Diceros bicornis minor: one gene and its partners. The protein of the gene in region 2 interacts with the protein of the main gene of each other region in a biochemical or structural test. Links are inferred from orthologs where the notes say so. Each region holds a gene or a part of one and is shown on either strand. Other genes may lie near its edges.

Region 1 (7,694 bases), on a different chromosome or scaffold from region 2:
ATGGAAATGGAGAGATCAGCTGAGAGGTTACTGTAATAGTCCAGATCAGAAATTATGGTGATAGCAGTAGAGATGGTGAGAAGTGTATTTTTTTGTGTGCATGTGAGGAAGATCAGCCCTGAGCTAACATCCGTTGCCAATCCTCCTCTTTTTGCTGAGGAAAAGATTGATCCTTGGCTAACAACCGTGTCCATCTTCCTCTACTTTACATGAGACGTCGCCACAGCATGGCTTGACAAGTGATGCATCGGTCCGCGCCCAGAATCCTGGCCTGTGAACCCCGGGCTGCCAAAGCAGAGCACGAGAACCTAACCTTTAGGCCACTGGGCCAGCCCCCAGAAGAGTATTTTAAAGGTAGGGTTGACAGGACTTGTTGATGGATTGAGGGATAAGAGAAAGAATCAGGGCTAACTCCTATGCTTTTGGTTGGTACATATACAATAACCTGGGGAAGGAACAGGTTTAAGGACAGTAAATCAGGAGTCCTGCTTTGGATATGTTAATTTTCATTTCCAGGTGTAGATGTTAAGTAAGCAACCTAACATATATCTCTGGGCTAGAGATAGAAATTTGGGAGTTATCAGCATATTGATGATATTTAAAGCACTGGGACTAAAGTTACTTAGGAAGAGAGTGAAGATGAAAAGAGGACCAAGGAAATAGCCCCAAAGCACTTAGAGAGTCAAGAATGATTCCCAGACTTCTGGTTTGGAAAAATGAGTGAACATGGTATCATTTACTGAGATATCCCTACCTCAGTGAATGAGAAGAATTAAAAAAAAAAAAAGCTTGGGGAGACTTGGATATGTGGAGAATTTGTACTGGATATGCTGAATCTCAACTGCACATATAACACCCAGGTAAAATTGCTAGTATATAGTTCTCTATAGTGCTACAGGAGATAGATATGGTTTGGAGAAACACACTTGGAGTCGTCAAACAGCAGATGGTAGGTGAAGGCAGGAGAGTGGATGAGATCACCCAGAAAGACTTTGCAGAGAAAAGAGTGCTAACAGCAAACAACAGAGGAGCAAAATTTAGCCCTGAGAGACAGAGGAAGAGGAGCACACACATTAGAACAGTGACATTTCGCTTTTTTCCGAAATCTAATTGTCGTAGTCAATTAAGGAAAAAAAATTGGGGAGAAGAGGCCTTGATGGTATGACTCTGAAGTCTAGCTCCGATAACTGTTGTCTCTCTGACTTTGATTCCTCAATCTCTGTGACTCAGTTTCTTAACAAATAGTGATAATATTTGCTTCATTCTATATCATGAAGCTACCGTGATATTGAACAAGCTTGAATGAAGCAGTTGCAATGAAAAAGTCATGACAATTAAAAACTAGTATTAGACATTTCTCTTTGGATCAGTTTTTCTATTCTTTCTCTTAGAATGGCTACAAATGAATGAAATGAAAGGTAACACAAGCTCTATTATGAAAGAGACTGTAAATAAATCCAAGATGCTATTATTTTTATTAACAAGTCTCACAGAGGAAGAGAGAATAGGGAAGAGAAGTATTAATCAGTTAATTCTACATGAAAGCAAAGTAGGGAAAACACACTGAGCTTCATGCTGAGCTTGAATAACGAAATGTGTCCATCAACTAACTAAAATGAGCACTTGTATTCATCTTTTAGAAAGCTAGATGTTACCCGACTAAACGTTAACGCAAAGTGTGCTTGCAACATGCATGCAAAGAAAAATTCACACACACACAGAGGATGATTCAGTTAAGACAAGCATGGTCTTTTCATTTAGCCCCTTATTTACGTAATTGAGGAAGACTAAACGTCCTTGTATGGCCAACAAGTGGAGGTGAACACAACTGCACCGCGAGTAGAAAGGCAATTAAATATCCCAGGGGCTTAACCACCGTTTTGACTTCGTTTGTGCTAAGTTTTCCAACAGTTTAAGAAACTGGAAAGCAGCTATTCCAATGGGTAGTTCCAGTGCAGTGGTGGTACAAGCCCACTTATTTCTTGTTCACAGTGGGTTACAATATTAAAAAAACAAACAAAACCCCTGCCTTCTAGTCTCGAGGCCTGTTTGAGGGACGGCCGCGTGGATTAAAGGGGACAGGAGCCATCAACACTCTCCCCTCTCTTCCGGCAGGACACTGGTTCACAGGATGTTACTCTAGGATTTACAGAAAACAAGCTTTTGCAAGTGAAACAATATTAAATTGTCTTCAGATTTTGGCAACATCCTGTGCACTTTCCATTTTGTGGACGTTGCGGCCGATCCCCGGCTTTTGACTAAAATAACGGATTGGCGACCGGGTGATCAATACCGAAGGGGTCCCATCTTCAGAACGGCCTATGGTTTCACCTCGAAAATAGAAACTACCTTTTCGAGCAACTGGCCTGCCTTACACAAAATCAGAACCAGCGATTTTTTCTGTTAAGGGCAGTTTGGGTCAAAACATAAAGCTAAAAACCCAATTCCTCCACGAGCGCTCCTAAAGACTAGAAACTGGGGAATGTCTACGGGTCAAGTCCCTCATCTAAAAGGAGAGAGGCTTTCGAGAAGCGAGTGAGTGGAGTCAAGTGACCAGAAAAGCGGTCGAAGGGACACTTCCCCCCAGCTGCAGAGGGCAGCCCCGGCTGGGGACGAGCGCCCTCGCGCCGCTGAGGTAAAGTGCGGCCGGCAGACGCCTCCCTCCCCTCGGCCTGGCTTCCCGCAGGTCCTTGGAGGCGCCCCGCGTCACCTGAACCGCCCCTCTGAGGGGAAGCGCTCCGGTCCGCCGCGGAGCATCTCCACAGGGGCCGGGGCGGAGGGGATCGGAGCCCGGACGCGCGCGGCAGGGGACGGAGAGCACGTGAAACGCCGGCCGGGCCGGCGGGGAAGGACCTGGGATCCAGGACTGCCGGGCTCGCCCTACCTGCCCAGCTCCCGCAGGGCGGGGATCATGGACGCCAGCTCCAGGCCATGCTCGCCCATGCTGAGGACGCGCGGCACTCGTCAACGACGCCGATGCGGACTGCCGGCGTCTCCACAGCTACTCCGGTGGGAAGCCGCGGCGCCCGACGGGAACTCGCGGGGTCCAAAACTCCTCCCGGAAGCCGCCGCCGGCCCCGCTCTGGAGGCGGTATTTCGTTTCCGCGTAGGACCCGGGGGAGGCCGGGAGGCAGAAAGGGGCGGGGCGAGCCGGTGGCGCGCGCTGCGGCCACCTTTCCCTGCGCGGGTTCCGGGTTAGCTCGGCGCGCTGGGGGGGCGGGGTTCGCCGAGCTTGGGTTTTAGCGGCTGCGCTCCGTGCCTCCTAGCCTAGAAGGCTCAGCGAAGCGAGTCCCGCGGATCTCGGGGAGAAAGGGGCTTGGCGGGCCCCAGCCCAGACTCGGTCGCATCACAGGTGTGAGAACTGAGACGATTCAGCGAGTCAAGGCCACCACTAGATGCCGGGTCTCCCCACGGCGTAAGGCCCTCAGGTTCCTCATTTTCCTACCGCTCTCCTGGCATCCTTGCTGAGAGATGCGGGGCAGCAGGTGGGATCCTCCCTGTCCTTTCTGTTTCAGCAGCTTTTTTCAACTTGAAGTCACTCTTCGGTTTCCTTGAGGATTCTCCTAACCTTTAATATTTCAAAAGGGATTGAATTGTATTTATGTGTGTCTCATCAGATCAGCAGCAGTACACTGAATGTCACCGTTACGGGCGTCTACCACCGACGATTTAATTTTTAAAGTAAATCAATGCATTGTGGCTGTAGACGTTTTCTAGCTCAGCCCAATTTGCTTATTCGAAAGATGGCCATCATAAGAGACTGTTAACGTGTAAAAATTATGTATTTAATCAGGCAAAGCCGTGCAGTGTGCTTACCTTTGTTCTTTGGCACGTGAGGAGAATTGTGGATGCAGTATCTAAAAAAATCAAAGTGATGGAATGACAGCCAAATATGCGCCTGCCTCAGGGATTTGGCATTTGCTGTGTACCCTCTACCTTGACCTTGAACACCCCTCTCCCATCGCCCCTCTTCAGACGTTTGCTGAAATGTCACCGGAGAGCCTCCTGTAGACCTGCACACACGCTCACACTGTGTTTTCCCCTCTATCCTGCTTTATTTTTCTTCATAGCACTTGGAAGCAAGCGATGTATTACATACTATTTTATCGACTGTCTCCTCCAATTAGAATGTAAGCTCCTTGAGAGCAGGATCTTTTTTGTTTTTTTCACTGCTTAGATACCCAGGACCTAGAACAGTGCCTGGCACATAGTTGGTGTTCAGTAAATATCTGTTAAGTAGTTGAATGCCAAGGTGGAAAGAACGTAAGATTAGGAGTTAGAGGGCCTGCGCAAGTTCTCATTCCATCTGCTAGAAACGATATTACCTCGGGAAAGTTACTTAACCTCTCGGACTTCGCTTTTTCATCTATAAAATGAGATTGATGATATCTGCCTCACATGATTATGGTAAAGATTAGAATACCATTTCTTAGTTAAGATGAATGAAATATACAACACATGCCAACAAGGATGAATCCTGAAAACGATATTGAGTGAAAAAAGCAAATTGCAAAGGGATACATAATATTGTTATATAACTTACATACCATTTTAAAACCACAAAATAAGACTTTGTGTGTTATGTATACATTCATATACGATAAAAGTATAAAAACATGGTTGGGAAGGATGTACATCAACGCCAGGAGAGTTGTACCTCTGAAAAGAGAGAGAAGGAAATGAAATGATGAGGTTTCAACATATCTGTGAGGGTTTTCTTTTAATAGGATCTGAATTAATCATGACAAATTTAACATTTGTTATATTTGGGTGAATGTCATATTACTATTTTTATCTGTATGGTTAAGATATCCCAAAATGTATAAAAAATAAATATGCTTTTTAAAGCTTAAGTTAGACAACACATGTGAAAAACAATTTATCAACTAAAAAGTAACAAATGTTAGGTATTATTTTTAGATCATATGAAGAAAGATTGTAAAAATTACAATGTTATATGGGAGGCAATAGCGGAATAGCATTGTAATTCTAAAACACAGTGTAAACCCCTAAATGTTAGAAACAATAGAGCTTTGCGAATCCAGTTTAATTCAAAAAGTGATTTTTGTGCAAGGTATTGTGTTAGGTACTTCTATGACACAAAAATGAGTAAGACAGTTTCAAATAGTATACAATCTGGATGTAGAAAGGGTATGATAAGAACCCAGAAAATTAAAAGCAAAGCAACATCTATGAATGCCATAAGAGAGATATGAACAGCATGCACTGGAAAAATAGAGGAGGCGGCTGGCCCTGTGGCCTAGTGGTTAAGTTCTGTGCGCTCCGCTTTGGTGGCCTGGGCGTGGACCTACACCACTTGCCAGTGGCTGGGCTGTGGCTATGACCCAGGTACAAAATAGAGGAAGATTGGCAACAGATGTTAGCTCAGGGCGAGTCTTCCTCAGCAAAAAAAAAAGAAAAAGAAAAATAGAGGAAGGAGAGATCATATCTACTCCAGTGGAAAGGAGGTGGATCAGGAAGGGGCTCAAGGAGAATGTGGCACCACATCTGAGATGAGATGTGAAAGATGAGCAGGACTTGAAGAGACAAAGATTGGAGAAAGGACTATATTCTAACTAGAGGCAGCACTATGAAAAAAAGCATACTGAGGGAGAGAAGAGTGGTCCAGTTTGGCTGGTGTTAGGAAACATTTAGAGTCGTCCAACTGAGACGCTTCTACAGACCTCAGTGAGCAATGGAGAGGCACTGGAAGATTTTATATAAAGAGCGACACTGTCAAAGCTACACTCAAATCTAGCAGGAAGGTGCAGGACAGAATAAAAGGAGGTGGTAGGTCATTTAGAGAATCAAACTTCTTTAGCAGTGTATCAATAAAGGAGCAATTGATGTCATTCCAAGCAGATATCCTCCCTCCAGTAGCCATATGCGTCTCTCCTCCACCAAACTTTTTGAATTTTTCATACAGGCTGACTATATTTCCTCATCTACCACTCAGTCCTAACCTACATACACCATACTCTTTGCCCTGTTCGCCCCCTCTTAAACACCTCTCACCAAAGTCACCAATGATTTTCATACGGCTAAATCCAAAAGATGCTTATCAGTTCTTTCCTTTCTTGACCTCTCAGTAGCATTTGACAACATAGACTAATGCCTCCTTCTTGGAACACTGACTTCCTTTAGCCTACAAGATTCATTCTCATGTTAGCAACACTTCCTTTGCCATCCCCTTAACTGTTGGTATTCCTCGGGATTCTAACTTAGCTTCCTTTTTCTTTTTTATGCCTAGGTGACCTCATTCACTCTTAAGGCTTCAATGAACTTTCCACCTGCTGGACACTCCCAAATTCTTTGCTTCTGCTCAGATCTCTCTCTGAGCTTTATATTTCATATGTCTACCTTCCTACTGATTTTTTTTCCCTTGAATTTCTCCCAGGCACTTTATTTTTGTTTAACTTTTTATTATGGAAAGTTTCAAATATATACAAAAGTAGAGAGAATAAAATAAGGAACCCCCTTATGCTCATCACCCAGCTTCACCAATCAGCATATGGCTGCTCTTTGTTTCGTCTATAACCACCCCTCCCATTGCCCCTCTCCCTAATTGGATTATTTTAAAGAAAATCCCAGACATCATATCAATTTTTCTGTAAATACTTCAGTTCATATCTTTAAATGGTAAGGACTCAATTCTACCTCCTAAATATCAAACCTATCCACTTCCCTCCAAATCCTATTACCACCATTCTAGTTTCAGATAATCACTGTCTCTTGCCCAGATTACTTCAGCAGTGTTGTAGGTTGCCTCTCTTCCTTTGGGCTTTTCCCTCCAATCTATTCTCTTCACTGCGAGATTCCCCAACTTTTTTTGCTCACTCAACAATATTGTTGAAATTTTAAAAGTATGCACCCTAATATGTGCATATTTATTTATTAACCATATATATTTATTACTATATTTTAATATACATATAACTCATGATAATGTAAATTTGGACATAGTACAACTGTTGATTGGTTCCTGTCTTCCTCTCACCGCCCCCTGCCCTTTTATCATTTGGTGTGGTGGAGTGTGAAGGGAGAGTGAGGCAGGAAGAAGAGAGGCTGAGGTGGGTCCCAGTGTCCTTGGGACGTTAGTATTTCCTAAGCCCCAGTGTCCCAGATCAAGTCAACCAAGGGGCGCCAACCAATGTCCTCCTGGAAGTTTCATACAGCATGTATATGGAATTGTCCCCATTGTTGATTAAACTAGGATGGGAAATGACCATCAGGTGGCACCACAACCCAAGTGAGACCAAGATGCAGTTGGTTCTCAGTCAGATGCCCAAACTCCTGGCTGCCTAGCTCTGCAAGTTCCATCATAATGCATTGGATGTTTTTTACCCATTTATGGTATTACGTGAGGATTTTACTGTATAATTCACATTATAGTATAGATTAAAATAGAAATCTTCAAGGAATGAGATAAAAAATATGAACAATTTTATAAGTTTCTTTCTATACCTGAATGGTTCAATGTACACCTCCTTGGTACAGTTATACTCAATAATTTGCATTTAAATACTTTTTAAAAATTATTTATTAGTTAATAGTTTGCATTTTTAATAATCTATAAAAATTTGCTCCTAGGTGATGCTCATGTTGTTTGGAGTTCTACACAGCAGACGGAGCAACCTTTTCAAAACCTAGATATGATTATGCCATTCCCTGCTTCAGCAGTTTGACTGTGTTGA
Region 2 (7,862 bases):
GAGGAGGATTGGCGGATGTTAGCTCAGGGCTGATCTCCTCACAAAAAAAAAAAAAAAAAAAAAATGGGGCTCTACCATGCAGACTGATCTCCAAATTGCTTTTTTCCACTTACCACTACATGGCCGTCTCTCGGTGTTAGTACTTGACAGTATGCCGGCAATCAACATCCTCCTGTGCCTTCTTCGTCGACTTTCTACAGCAGCAGTTCTCAAATTTTATCTCAGGACCTCTTTTACGCTCTTGCAAATTATTGAGGACCTCAAAGGGCTTTTGTTTATATAGGTTATCTCATCAATATTTGCAATATAGAAATTTAAACTGAAAATTTTAAATTATTTATTCATTTAAAAATAAACATTTTATTATTACTGGAAAATAACTTCTCCGCTGTTTTTAGATAATTGTAACTATTCTTCTTTGAAGCTACACCAAAACTTGGTAGTTTCTTAAAGGTTAGTTGTGATGTAGAATCTAAAACCGTATCAATGAACGTTTGCATTGCCACATTAAAATCCACTGTCCACCTTGCACCTTGAACGGATCTTTTACCTGTGTGTGATTTTACAACTTCATGTGTTGATCATTTAGAAAATATCGGTTCACTGAATTATGTAGATCTTCCAAATAATACATTTCATTATATCAAAATATCACATTTGCAAATATTACCACCAATCTCTCCAACACAGCAGCAAATACAAGTTTTCCAAAATCCTAATTTCCCCTGGAAACCTAAAATTTTATCATTGACAACAGATAATACCGTTGTTGTCCATGAAAGACTCCTTTATACATTTTTTAGTCTGAATAACCATCGTTCGTCGGCTGTAGTTTGCAGTGAAAATGGTAGCCCATGAAAGAGTGGCTAGTTCAGTTTGCATCTCAAACAACCACCCAAGCACCCTTCCTAGAAATAACCCTTATACCTCAGCACGCAGCAGAAATGCCGTATGCATACTTCCCATTTTATCCCACAGAACAGTCAAAACACATATACACAAGGGTCAAGAGTTAATAAAATTAATAATTTTTGCTGCCATCAAGGACATTCTTAAGTAAAAATCGATTTTCTTTCTTTCTTTTTTTTTTTTTTGTGAGGAAGGTCAGCCCTGAGCTAACATCCATGCCAATCCTCCTCTTTTTGCTGAGGAAGACCGGCCCTGAGCTAACATCTATTGCCAATCCTCCTCCTTTTTTTCCCCCAAAGCCCCAGTAGATAGTTGTATGTCATAGTTGCACATCCTTCTAGTTGCTGTGTGTGGGACGCGGTCTCAGCATGGCCAGAGAAGCGGTGCGTCGGTGCGCGCCCAGGATCCGAAACCGGGCCGCCAGTAGCAGAGCGCGCACTTAACCGCTAAGCCACGGAACCAGCCCCGATTTTTTTTCTTTACTATGAGTGCATGGCGTGAAGAATACAACGGCCACTAGCGTAGTAGATGTCACAGCCTTGATTCATGCTAAGGAGTCTGCATTACTTTTGCACCATTAGTGCAAAGAGTGCAAATAACATCTTAGTACTGTATTAATATGAAAACAGTTTTAACCCCTGGACCCCCTGAAGGGGTACTAGGACATCAAGGGGACTACACTCTTCCATACTAGGATAGTTTCCTAGAAGTAAGATTACTGGGTCACGGGTACGTACATTTTAAATTCTGATAGATACGACCAAAGCTCTCCAAAAAGTTGGTACCAATTTTCACTATCTAAGGCTGCATGAGCATCACTAGTTAAAAATGGTAATTTACTTTATAAATCCAGAATTGGGGAAGCATTATAACATATTACCACATTTGCCTGTCCAAAACCAATGCTAAAATATAACTAATGTTTCAAGGCAAAGTAAAATCCAAGAACCCAGACTATTTAGATGAGGGGAATATTTTTCTGTAAGGTCAAACCTCAACTATGAAACACCAGTTCACTGAACAGAGACCTTTGTTTATTGTTGTCACCCATTGTTAAGAGGTACTCGTGACCGAGTTTCGAAGTACAGTATATGCCACTTACACACACCTTACATTTGCTGATAGGGCGCGTGGGCTCAATCGATATTTTCATATAAAGTACACAGGCTGAAAAACGTCAGGCTGCAACAGCACAAACAGGACCCTGATTAACTGGTTCAGGGCGGGCCCCTGTTACAGACCTCAGCCTAAGCTGACCCTTAGTTTTAAAACTTCACACAGAATTACTGGAAGTGAACAGTATCACATGTACTGCCAGCACTCAAATGCCAAATATATTCACAAAAATGTCAAAGACAACCTTTCTTGCCCCAGATGTCATCTGAAACAGGAAAGAAGAGGAGGAAAGCTCCATACATGGGGAGAGGATTACTCTTTGTGTAAGGTAAAATATCTAAAAGTTGGGTATCCTCAATGCACGAGGAATGCTGCTTCCCCACCTGATTTTTCCCACAAACCTCCAAAGTGAGTATTTTCAAGTCCTACTTACGATGGAAAAGGTCAAGGATATTAGTGTCAACTAGGATCTGTGGTTCTTAACCTTTTGGGGAGCACACACCACTTTGAGTATACAATAAAAGCTCTCTGTAGACAAAGTAGTAAAGCATCTATGCATCTCGAGGGAAGAGCCCAGGCCTTAGGTTAGACCAGAGCCATGGACTATGGATCCTGAGAAACCACTTAAGCCCAACCTCCTCAGGAAACCGGAATAGCAAAATGGCTTGTCCATTTCAACAGTGAGTTAGAAGGGGAATCTGGTGAGAAATAAGCAACTCTAACAGATTTTGAAGAAAGCCATACAGTGTCACCAAGTAACTTCTTGTTAAAGAAAGTTCCACCAAAAACTAGGAGAGAACTATAGTTAACAGAAGTTTTAAGTAGAAATGCAAGGAACTGACACAAGTGCTCTTGTTCAAAAGTTCCATATGCGTTCCTAAGCTGAATACAAAGGGAAAAACACGACCAGAAAGCTTGCAAAGCACTCACCATGTTCCACAAAAACATTGCAGTGTGGACCCCCATGCCTCGATGATTCCTTCTTCCCTGCTCCTTTGATAAAGTGCAGGGCAGGCAAACTTGGCCTTCTTTGGTCCCCAAGAACTTTTCCAGGCTGCTGCCCCATAAAGTAACGATAGACACCCCTTTCCAGAAGAGGGCTCAAGATCGTTCAGAACAGTCAGTGAGCTTAGAAGGAAAACGGTGTATACGTCGGATTGCACATTCACCGCTTCTCCACAAGTCAGTAACTGAGGTCAATCACAAAAGACATCTTCCATAACAAAAGGAAGCAGTTTTTAGGTTGACACATGTAAACAGGAGTTCCGATTATTTTCGCAGTTTATCAATTTGAAGTAATGTAATTGCAATGCTACCCAAAAGTTTCTGGATTTTAAGTGTCTTTTACTGGCTGAATAACAGCTTTTTTCTTTTCAAGGAGAAAAACCTAAACGGAAACCTTCACAGAGGATGCTGTAAAATGGTCAGTAATACTCAAGTCACTTCGATTCCCACACGTAAAGGAAATGTCGATCGTCTTGGGGTGCTCCTCCAGAACTCTTCCTGTGGAAGTCACCCACCCCCTATCTTAGTTTCTTCATCTTCCGTCAAATTTCCTGCCGAACTAGCTGCCGCTCCCGCTTCTCTACCCTGCTCTCCGGAAAGGGACACGGGTCACCCAGACTTCAGCCAGAGCTGGCCCTCGGCTCGGACGAGGAATGCATGGCCAGCAACTTTTAAGTCCGCTTTTTAAAAGGCCTGTGAAACCAGTCCAAGCTTTTCGTTTGCATTAAAGTTTTTGGCTGAGCTGGGACTAGGGGGGTCGTAGGTGACATTGGAAGAAGTCAGGGCATTAGAAGCTCGCGGGAGCAACCTGGGGGGAAGGCGAGGCCCCTTGACAGCAGGGAGGGGATATGAATGGGGGGCTCCGAGGCCACACTTGGGGCCGGGAGTCGGAGCGAGGGGCGGCTCGGGGGGAAGAGGGAGGCTGCCGGGGCGGGGCACGGGCGGCTTACTCGGGGGCGACGCTCCTCCACGCCTCAGGAAACGGGGTGTCCCGGGTCTGGGGGAAACAGAGACCACCCCAGTGTCCCAGAGCCGGGGCAGGGCTGTAAGGGACGAAGGACTCTCGCGGCCCGGAGGGCGGGAGGCGGACGGAGGGGGGAGGAGGCTCGGCCGCCTCAGCTGCCCCGAGCCCGGGGGTCTCTGCCCGAGACACCCCCTCCCCCGGCCCCGCACGTTGCCACGGCCGCCGCCGCCAGGCAGTCACATCGCCCGAGCTCCGCCGCGGGGCCCAGCCTCCTCCCGCAGGTAGGGGCCGTGGACAACCGAGGGGCTCCTCAGTCGCAGGACCCGGGAACCGGCTCCGGCTCCAGCGCTGGTCAGACACGGACACCGAACCCCGCGGCCGCCATGATGGATTACGAGCCGCTCCACAACGAGGCCAGGCCCCGCCCCCGGCCCCGCCCCCGGCGACGTCTGGAGCGTGCCTCTCGGGGACCAGGGCCCTCCCGGCGCCGCTGTCGGGCACGCCGCCGCGCCTTCCGGCTCTGGTCTCCCCACCCGCCAGAGCCCGGCCCCGCACGACCTTTTAAATGCGGTTTTTCCGAGCGCAAGGTGAGTGGTAAGGAAGCACCCGCCTCCCCTGTACTGCCACTGGTCCTCGAGAATCCGGGTGTGATGTCTCTCCTGCGTCCCATTGGCCGGCGAGGGCAGTGGGGCTAGGGCTCCCAGCCAACCGCTTTCGGCGCACCCCGCGGGGTGTGCCGGGAGTTGTAGTCCCGCGGCGCCCACCTCTATCCGCGCGCACCCGAGACTTCTTGCCCCTTGCTCCCTGCTTCCGAGCTTCGGTCCCGCCCTCCTCGGAGCCGGTGGACTTTCGGCGGTCTCGCGTAGGGCTGGCAAATGTCTCCCCTGCGCGGGTAGTAAGACCGGCGAGGAGCCAAAGCAAGGGGAAAACTGCGGATTGGATTTTCCCAGAACCGGAGTTGGATTACTTCCTTAAACCTGTGTAGGGGAGAAAATTTGGCTCGCTCCTGGAAACCAAGGTATTTGGTGCTTTCATGTCCCTCGCCTCCCCAATTTCCACCTTTTTCCCAAGAAGCATTAATATTAGAACTAGCGAAAAATAAACGACTGGAAAGCATCCGACATATTGCTAACGAATTCATTGTTTCTTTGGGATAACGGGAGGCTCACTCATTAAAGCAACAGCTTTTGTTAAGCACCTCTCGGAGGGTAAGCCAGGCGCAATCAGATATTTGAGCTAGAATGAATCTTTACAATGTAACGACCTCATTTCACAGGTGAACACGTATTCACATAAAAACATCCTCTATGTTAGCCAAGACAATGTCCAGATTACTGGGTTTAGCAGGCCTACAGAGCTAGCCAATGACCCACGCACACCAAACCCACACCTGTCATAACCCATCTTCTACAACTAAAAGGCACCCCGGTCTCCCATTCTTCACTCTCCATGTCTCCGCAGAGCGATGCCCCTCACCCGGATATACCCATTTCTAAGAGAATCCACTTATGACAGCGCCTACTCTGCGCCACGCACTTTTACGCTTTTCATAAACTTTATCTCATTTAATCTTCACTCTAAACCATGGGGCATGTAATATTATTCCCCATTACAGAGATGGGCAAACAGATTTAGAGACTAGACTTACTCAAGGTCACTTGCCTAGTATGTGATAAAGCTACACAGTTGGGAGTCCGGGTTGATCTTGCTCCAAAGCCCAGTTTTCCACTGTACCATTCTGTATCAAATAACTGTTGACCTAACATTAGACATTGATTTTTTAGAAGTTGCTACTGATAGGGAGAAAACCAGAGCCACATTCTAGGTGTCTTAGGTTCAGTTATTGTCTTGAGTTATGTATCTTAGAAATATTTCTACTGGATTGGGAATGGTGCTGATTTTATATAGACATTGGCTTCAAGAAGAAATAGTCACTTGGAGGTACTGAATGTGAAGCATATGCAAATGCGTGCCCAAATTTAAAACTGGAATTTATATTCAGATGTTAATTAGTTTAGCTTTGCTCTCTCACACAATAATCTGGCTGACAAACCTGGTCCTGACTTGGAGATCACTCTACAAACTTCAATGCCCCTGTTCCCTTTATTTACCCATTATCTTATCCTGATTACCACCCCAATTTTTCTCTTTGAAGATTTTGCTTTCTTTTCATTCCTATTCATGCTTTAATCATTACCTACACATCGTTCTTCACTCTCTAGTTTAGCTTAAAATTGGACAATCGAGTCAGAACTCTCTAATAACATTTCTTGAGCTAACATTCATTCAACAAGCATTAATGAGCCCGTGTGCCAAGCGTTGTTCTAGGTGCTGGGATACAATGGGGCCGGGGGGCTCATCCTTGTCCTGGAGCATACATAGTGGGAGGGACAGGCAATAAGCAAAATGACTAACAGTCCAAAGTATCAGACTCAATGCCGGAAATAAAATTTCTGGACCCATGTCCTTTCACAATCAGTCCAACACATTCTCTGAAGGGTTGCTTTAAGATACTTCTTTTCCTGATTCAGTTGCTAATGAGCTTCATCAAGTCACTTTAATTCTCTGAATCACTTTCTTCACTTGTAAGTGGGAGTCATATCTGCTAACTTTACAAGGTTATCATGAGGATCAAATGAGATCTTGTTTCCTTTTCCACAAAGACTGAGACTGTGCTTCATGCAAGTCAGTGTGGAAGCCAACCGTGCTTGATCTGAGGCTTACCCCGAGTCTCCATTTTCCACTGCCACCATTTTCTGGTTGTAGGTGAACCCCCAGCCCACACTGTAATATTTTCTTCTAGAGATGCACTATGCTTTTTCACAGTTATACTTTAACACTGTGGAGTGATACTTTTGAGGACTTAAAAAACTATAATCCAGAGCCCAGCAAATGCCTAACAGAAGTAAATAAATGTTGCCAAATGCTGAATAAATCCCTTTAAGTTTAATATATTCTTTTCATTAAAAGTGATTGAGTTCACTCTAATTTTGTCTTCCCTTTTATAAAGCAAAGCAACCCACAAGTTGCTGCAGGGATTCAGTACCAATGTAAAAATTGCAGCTTTATTCCTTCTTTTTTTTTTTTTAACGCCAACTGGAATTAAACTCAACAAGGGTGCCCTCTAGTGGGCCACAGAAAGTAGACAATCAGCAAAGGTGCTGTCAGACCTTGATACATTTCCACTTGCAAGGGTACACAGAATAACAGCACAGGCTGGCAGCCTGGGAGACCAGGAGAGAAGGACAAAATTTCAACGAACCTATGCACGGCCCTGGTTGAGACCAAACCAAACCAGGGACTCAGGCTCCCTCCCTCTCCCATTCCCTTCTCTCAAGAGGCATACAGCCTGAAATGGGGCCTCCAAAATACAAGTGAGCAAACCTAAAGCTGCAACATAGCCTAGAGAATAATCAGTTGTCTGCAAACTCCTCAAAACGAGTGATACACTTGGGAGAGAAAAAACAGAAAAAGTTGTCTGAGTAATGTTATAAAGCAAAAAACCATTTAATGAAAAAGAGCCAAGCTGTTATTTCAAAACTACCAAATGCAGTGTTCAACGTTACTACCACTGAAACTGTCCTAGGTTTAAATTTTACTAGGTGACCCAAGCAGAGTAGTTAGGGCCTCTGTCAAAAGAATTTCTATCTGCTAAGCCCTCCTTCAACTGTACCGAGCTCCCAAGTAGTACACAGAACACAAGAACAGAATGCTAATGCCACAGTTATAAAAAAAAATAGTTCACCACATGTGAAATAAAAGAGCACTTTCATATAGTGACTTTAAAAGAATGTTTCTCAAAACCTAACTCAGGGCACCATTTTAGTCAGCAGAAAAACAATGCCTAGGAATTCTAGCCTTCCTCAGT
Region 3 (7,164 bases), on a different chromosome or scaffold from region 2:
CTGCTCTAGAAAGCCCACAGTCCCAGCTCCCTGAGGCCCCACTCTTCTGGACCTGGCTGTACAGGGCACCATCTGAGCTGTGGCCTTTGCTGCCACTGCCAGCTGCAGCTCCAGCTTCAGGGAAGGCCAGGCCCTGGGGCTTGGGAGCTGGGAGGGGCTTTGTGCTCCGAGGGGGTGGCACAGCATAGTCATCAGTGGCAGGGTTGTAGGGGAGCTCGTAGCCCTCCTCCTTCACCCGGGCCTGGCACCACCATGCATCCTTGGGCTCTTGAGGCAGATCATAAAGGCTCCGGAGAGCAGCTGGGGCCAGGCCCTCAGGTTCATCATAGATGGGGTCTTCTTTGGGGTCCTTCAGCTTGGCCTTCAGCAACTGCTGGTGTGCATGCTCATACAAGTCCCAATAGAGAGGTTTCTTTAACTGTGCCCCCTCCCTTGTCTGAGCAGGGGTGCTGTCCAGGGGGTCTGAGTATAGGGAATCCTGGGAAGGGCCTGGAGGAACACGAAGGGAGTCTAAGGGCTCAGCATACAGTGCTGGAGGGCTGCCCAGGACCTCCTGAGGGGGGGAGGTCAACTTCCCCTCTGCCACTTCTCCTTCATGGGAATCAGCTCTGAGAACATCCTGCCCCTGACCAGCCTTTCCTTGGGCCTTCTGCCGGTGGATAGCAGTCTCAACTGCCTGAAAGATGTCATTTCCCTGTGCCGTCTGGAAGGTGAAGGTTCCAGGGCCGGAGGGGCAGCGGCGGCCAGCCTCAAAAGAGAACATGACCTGAAGAGAATGTGGAGAGAAACACATTACCAGGAGCCATGAGAGGAGGTGAGTCACAGGGCCCTACTACTTAGGGGATCTACAAAGAAAAGACTACCTGGAGAAGAGGGTGGGGTCATGGGCTAGGCAAAGAAGGGTTATCCAGAGGGCAGAGCTTTCCACCTTCCTGTCCTGCCCCACCTCCCCCACAGCTGCCCAGACCTAGGAAGCCAGCCCTCCCTGACAGCCCCCGCACCTTGTCCCTGCCATAGCGACGCAACAGAGTGTAAGGCCAGAAAAGGAGTGGCTCTAGTATCTGCCTCTGGGCCCCCGCGGTCAGGAGAGTGAGCCTCTCAGCCTCCACCCTCAGCACATAGGAGCCGTGCAGGCCGCAGCGCTCAGCGGCTTCAGTCCTCTGCACGGTTACCCAGAACTGGGATCCTGGAAGGAATACACAGTTAGACGGGCACCTGGCCGGGACTAGGGGATGGGGCAGATTGTCCAAGCACCCACTTGGAAGCCAGCTCTCAGGAGCTTCCTACTTCCCCAGGGGTCCCTGGACCCTCTAATTATCCCCTTCCCAAGGGCACTCTTCCTTTCCACCCCATCCCTGCCCGGGCTTCTCAGGCGTCTACCTTCCCAGGTGGGGCTATACAGGGAGTTCTCCAGCATCTCCAGGGCAGAAAGCTTGGGTGGGTTCTCAGCAGGCGCCAGAGCCCAGCTGCCTTTCTGGGGTAAAGAGAAAGAGAGTATCGAAGACCCTGTAATTCCCTCAACGCGGCTCCCAGGATCTGAGCCAACCCAGTTCCTCCGCCGCAGTAACTGCCCCCACCCCCGCATCGCCTCTAGGCCCGGTGCGGCTCGCAGGAGCCCCTCGCCGGCAGTCCCGGCCCCCTCACCGGAAAGGCGTTGCGGCACAAGGTTTGCACCCAGGCGGCGCTGGACGGCGCGTCGGCCGCCAGCAGGTGGGAGCGCTGCGCGGTGTCCAGGCGGAAGGCAGTGGCGCCAGGCTCAGGGGGGCTTTCCACGGCCACGGGGGCTACGCTCACACACTCCGCCAGACGGATCACCTTGCAGTCCAGGCGGCGCGAGCCCCCTCGGCCCCCTCCAGAGCTCGACCCCTTGTGGTCAAAGAACTCGAGCCGCGCTACGCCGTGGGGGCTGGCTGGGTAGAGCACGGCCCAGGTCTTCCTCCACCTCTGCGGAGAGAGAGCGAGAGACGCTGCGGAGGGGGCGGGCGAGCACGGGCAGCCCGGGAACCGACGGGGAAAGAGAGACCGGCGCTGGCCGATATTGGGTCTGAGGCTTCCCGATGGGAGGCGAACTCGCCCAAGGAGGAAGCCGCTCCGTCTCCCCACGACCAGAGAGGGCGTACCCGGAGCCCGGCGGGCGCTTCCCCGGAGTGTGCAGAGCAACCTCGCGGGAACGTCACAGGGCTCTCCAGCTCCGGGCGCCGCGCTCCAACCCGCTGCCCGCCTCCTCCCTCTTTCTGGGCTCTATCGCCCACCCCTAGCTCTGAGGGGGTTCGGCAACCCTTGCCCCTGACTACCTTGGTACCGAAACGCTGACTCTGCAAAAAGAGCGTCCCTTCCATCACGGCCCCGTCCATCGCCCGCGGCGGTTCCTTTCGCACTTCCTGGCCCCGGGGCTGCGGGCGGGGCGGGGCGGGGCGGGGCGGGCCCACCGGAGGCGTTGCCGCCCCTCCCCCGGCCCCTGCGGACCTTGAAGGATCAGGAAGGAGAAGAGCAAGAAGGAAGGGGAGGGGGTCCACCTCCAGGTCCCTGCCCTTAGCTCTAGGACGCGCGCAAGTGGCTCCACCAAGAGAAACCTCGCGGTTTTGGCCAGAGGGCTCTGGCGCCTGGGCTTGGGGGCTGCGTGCGATGTCATATGCTCAACGTGACATCAGAGTGAAGGCCGTGACATCACCTCGAAAATGGTGACGGTCGCCCTGGGGCACTGGAGGGGCCACGTGGGCCCTCATGGCCTCAGTTCCCCTGACCGGATCCGCCCCCAGCCTGGCCGGAGTTGGGCTGTTTACACTCCGCGGACCCAGGGACATGGAGAAAGGGCTAGGGGCTGGGGACTGGAAGGCTTCCCGGAGCCCGGAGCCGAGTCGCGGCCTCCAGCCGCTGCAGGGGCCGCCGTCCGGGCCGGTCCGCGGCCCGGTGGCCTCTTGCGTGTCCAGCTTCCTGACCGCAGCTGCCGGGCCTCCAACCTGCGGGAAAAGAAAGCTTCATTGAGCACTCCGGGAAGGTCGGGGCGGGGGGAGGTGGAGCGGCAACGGCTAGCGTCACGGGGGAGGGGAGGACTAAGAGGAAAAGAGGAGGGAACTGGCCAGGGAGCAATCGAGGGAGAAGGCGGAATGTGGGAGGGCTCAAGGGGACGTGGGAGGGACTAAAGGAGAGGGAGGAGAGAGGGGGGGTCCAGTCTCCCCTGGCCGAGCACTTTTTTTTTGAAAGTCCTAGGACTGATCTCCAGGACCAGCATTCTTCTCCCAGCCCCTAGGGCCCCCGCTCAGCCAAAGGTAGGGGGAGTCGCGCTGCCGGCAGGAGGAAGGGGAGTTGCGGATGGAGAGGATGGTGCAGGGACCAGGGGAAAAGGGTGATGTAGGATGGAGTCGAGGGGAAGCCAACCAACTGAGGGTTTTATTATTGTCAAAGAAGAACGAGACACAAGAAGAGTGGAGAGAGGAAGCAGATATTTGGGGGGGGGGGGGAGGAGACTGCAGAGTGTTCCAAATAGGGCAGCTGGGAGGACCCTAAGGCTGGGGGCTCCTCTTGTGAGGCCCTACCCCTGGGCCCCCCAGCCACAGTGTCCCCAGAACAAAGCTGTCCTGTTGGGTTGTTTGTCTGAGTTGGGGGAAGCATGTAGGGGGTGGGGGGGCTTGCTGTAGAGAGGCTGTTCTCAGCCCCAGACAGAGGGAAGGCCTTGGCTGAGGAGCCGATTGGCGCCCTGGCCTCCGGTTGCCCAGTGACAGCGATGGCAGTGTTGGCAGGAGACTTGGACAACCCCCCACTCCCCGCCAAGCTTGAGGCCTGGCCCTCCTGGGCCCCTTGACCCTCCAGGGCATGTGAGAGCCTGTGTGCTGGGTAGAGTGTGCAGCGGGTTCTGCATGTATTCTGATCTCTGCCCTCTCTGCCTTGGAATCTGCCCAGATAGGACTCTGGGCTTGGCTCCCATTCAGGGGGCCGGAGATCCAAGGGTTTCCTAAGACCCCCTTGCCTGCCTTTCTCCACAATCAGTAGCTGTCTGTCCTCTGTCTGACTAGCTGAATGGGGTCATCTGGGTCCCTCCCACTTCTGCTCCTTGGCTCCTGTCAATCCCTGTCCTCCTCACCTGTTGCCTGCCTCTCTCCTTTTCTCCCCAATCCTGTGTGCCCGGCTTTCTCCCAATCACCTTTTATCCATCTTCAACATTGTCTTTCTCTCTGCTGTCTCTTTCTCTTTGGTCCCCTTTCAGTCCCACAGTTTCCCTTCCTCTCACCTCCTATCTGTCTGGGTCTTCCTCTCTGTGTTTCTCTTGTTCCATATCTCTTTATCTTGACCATTCTTTGACTCTTGGTCTCTAATCACTGTCTTTTGATCTCTGGGTCTCTTAGATCAGTGAGTGGGGGTAATGGAGGCGATGATGGCAGAACTAGGGAAGGACATTGGAAGGCATAACAACTAATAGTGAGAGTTTTACTTTTTACCAAAGGGAGGGAGAGCCTCTCTCTCTATGTCTCTGTCTGTCTCTCTCTCCCTTTTCCCCAATCTGGGTCTCAGTCTGCGCCTCTTTGACTCAGTGTTTCAGACTTATTTAGTGTATGTTTCTCTCTCACTGTCTCTCTTAGTCCCTGGGTCCCTCTCTCTCTTGCACTGTCTTTCTGTCTCTGGTCTTCCTCAGTGTCTCTGTTCCTCTCATGACCTCTCTCTTGGACCTGGGCCTGGCTCAATCTCAGTTTCTCTTTCCTTCTCTCTCTCTGGGGCACCCAGGCCTTCCCTGCCATGCAACCTGTCAGTGTCTGGCAGTGGAACCCGTGGGGGCTGTTGCTGTGCCTGCTGTGCAGCTCGTGCCTAGGATCTCCGTCCCCATCCATGGCCCCTGAGAAGAGGGCCGAAAGCCAGGGGCTGCGCTTCCGGCTGGCCGGCTTCCCCAGGAAGCCCTTCGAGGGCCGCGTGGAGATACAGCGAGCTGGGGAATGGGGCACCATCTGCGATGACGACTTCACGCTGCAGGCTGCCCACGTCCTCTGCCGAGAGCTGGGCTTCACAGAGGCCACAGGCTGGACCCACAGTGCCAAATATGGCCCTGGAACAGGTGAGCAATGCTCCAGGAATAGCCTAGATATTGCCTAGGTGCCTAAGTGCAGGAAGAGGGAACACCAGGATGGCACAGCCACAGGTACACAGGACACCAAGAACAGCCAATGTCAAGTAAACCCAAGGGTGACAAACCAACCAACATAGTCACATCTCAGAGCTGTGTGACCTTAGGCTGGCCAATGCCTTTTCTGAGCCTCAGATGCCCCGTGTGCAAAATGACTAGATCATCTCTAAGTTCCTTTCTGCTGCAAAAGTATGATTCTACAAAGCCACGTGCAAGGACAGCCCTGATACAGGGGAGCCCTGTATGATTAAAGTATAGCTGGTGGGTTTCATGGGAAGCTGAGAGCAGGTAAATGATGTCTGGATGTCCCAAAGCCAGAAGGGATCACAGATACTGCAGCTGACAAAATCGGAGTATAGGCCACAGCTGAAACCAACAAGCTGGAACTGACTAAGGCCAAGTATAAACTCTAGAACGAGCATGAATGTGGGTAGTAGGGACTTACGAGCAAGTCAAACTGAGACCTGGGAGTGCTTGCACTGTATGAGCCCACAATGGGATTGATGGACAGAAGCTGGTGCAGTCTGCAGCTGATTCTCAATTCCCACTGGCTAGACCACTTCTGGAATAAAGTGTCACTTGTAGAGCCCGCATTTTAAGAGAGAGAGTAGAAAATGGAAATACTTTCAGAGGAGAGCTGCCCAGAGGTGAAAGATTAGAAGCCAAGTTTCAAGGGAGAATAGCTGAAGAAACAAGGATGTTTGGCATTAAAAGAAAAAGCTTTGGATAGCAATTACATGATGGTTGTCTTCAAATATGAGGACAGTCCTTTGGCTGAGGGATTTTTCTGGATGGCATCAAAGGACTGAATTAGACCTGGTGGGAGAAAGTCATAAAGAGTCACAAGGACTTTGTGATGGTTCCAGTGGCCTAGGGAGGCGAGAGGTAGGTGTCCCAGCAGAAGCTGGGTAAGTCCTATCAGGATATGCATGAGGGGTCCCTGCACATTGTCTGGGACAGACAACATTTGAGGGTCCACCCAATTCTGAGAGGAAGTCAGTGCTGTTCATTTCAGTTTGGTCCAGGCAGGAGAAGAACAAGGGGTAATGTGGCAGCACAGATAGGGTGGGCACATGGGAGAATGTGAGGCTGAGGTGAAAGGATCTTAGATTTCCAAGTCTCACAAATGGCTCAAACTCCTAAGCCCCCCATGTATTGGCTGTGAGGTCTTAGGCAAGCTACTTAATTTTTCTGAACCCCAATTTTATATAAAATGGTGATAATACATCCTGGCAGCTCTGTTCTAAGAATTATCATGTATGTACATACTACAGCAGAGTGCCTAACACACATAGGTACTTGATTAATTGTAGCTATCATTGAATGGGTAAGCACTCATCAGAACTTTAGTGTTGACCCTTGATTTCTGTTCATGCTACCACATTCTTGAGTATCCCCAGACCACCACCAACCCTCCATCAATTCTATGCTCCCTTTCCTATTCCCTTCCAGGGTCCCCTGTCTCGTCCCCACCCATTATCTTACCAGAAAAATGGGATCATCATGGCCAGGTGTGAGGCCTCCATGCTCACTCTCCCCAGCATCCCCATCACTCCTCCCATCCTACCTCCCCAAGCCTCTCTATCTCCTCATCTCCCCCTCCACAGGCCGCATCTGGCTGGACAACCTGAGCTGCAGTGGGACTGAAAAGAGTGTGACTGAATGTGCCTCCCGGGGCTGGGGGAACAGTGACTGTACCCACGATGAGGATGCCGGGGTCATCTGCAAGGACCAGCGCCTCCCCGGCTTCTCAGATTTCAATGTCATCGAGGTCTGCAGTTCACAAAATACACACGCACACACACACCACCCAGGATGGCCAGACAGAGAAGGCGGTAGGGGGTTATATGTGGTTAGAGGAGATACTAGATTGTAGGGGATCTCATATGCTCCATGGGATAATTGGATTGGTAGGAGGGTTGGCGGGGTGGGGAGACAGGACGAATGATAGAGGTCCCAGACACTGTAAAGTCCGGGTTTGTTTTAGCATTAGCATTCAAGTTACTAAATCTGGCACAAGCCTTTCCAACTCATCCCTGGTGCCCAGGGCA

What was found. The genes of interacting proteins can lie anywhere in the genome.
Region 1: of the proteins of ABL1 (region 2) and ATR, one has a biochemical effect on the other in vitro, tested with the Homo sapiens proteins (2 studies listed by BioGRID, with this or other methods). The link is inferred for Diceros bicornis minor from reciprocal best matches to the Homo sapiens genes ABL1 and ATR.
Region 3: the proteins of ABL1 (region 2) and DOK1 form a complex in vitro, tested with the Homo sapiens proteins (5 studies listed by BioGRID, with this or other methods). The link is inferred for Diceros bicornis minor from reciprocal best matches to the Homo sapiens genes ABL1 and DOK1.

What each region holds. Positions count from the first base shown.
Region 1 is NC_080741.1:11,310,565-11,318,258, reverse strand, and holds the start of ATR (serine/threonine-protein kinase ATR), read right to left. Parts: upstream 3,024-7,694; 5' UTR 2,944-3,023; coding exon 2,885-2,943; intron 1-2,884. UniProt on the Homo sapiens protein: Serine/threonine protein kinase which activates checkpoint signaling upon genotoxic stresses such as ionizing radiation (IR), ultraviolet light (UV), or DNA replication stalling, thereby acting as a DNA damage sensor.
Region 2 is NC_080767.1:38,114,738-38,122,599, reverse strand, and holds the start of ABL1 (tyrosine-protein kinase ABL1), read right to left. Parts: upstream 3,093-7,862; 5' UTR 3,092-3,092; coding exon 2,956-3,091; intron 1-2,955. Other genes in the region: umcharacterized LOC128092248 homolog, read right to left, coding at 3,702-3,800. UniProt on the Homo sapiens protein: Non-receptor tyrosine-protein kinase that plays a role in many key processes linked to cell growth and survival such as cytoskeleton remodeling in response to extracellular stimuli, cell motility and adhesion, receptor endocytosis, autophagy, DNA damage response and apoptosis.
Region 3 is NC_080751.1:14,465,170-14,472,333, forward strand, and holds the start of DOK1 (docking protein 1), read right to left. Parts: upstream 3,024-7,164; 5' UTR 2,355-3,023; coding exon 2,295-2,354; intron 1,945-2,294; coding exon 1,645-1,944; intron 1,475-1,644; coding exon 1,381-1,474; intron 1,187-1,380; coding exon 1,002-1,186; intron 767-1,001; coding exon 1-766. Other genes in the region: LOXL3 (lysyl oxidase homolog 3), read left to right, coding at 4,732-5,044, 6,721-6,884. UniProt on the Homo sapiens protein: DOK proteins are enzymatically inert adaptor or scaffolding proteins. They provide a docking platform for the assembly of multimolecular signaling complexes. DOK1 appears to be a negative regulator of the insulin signaling pathway.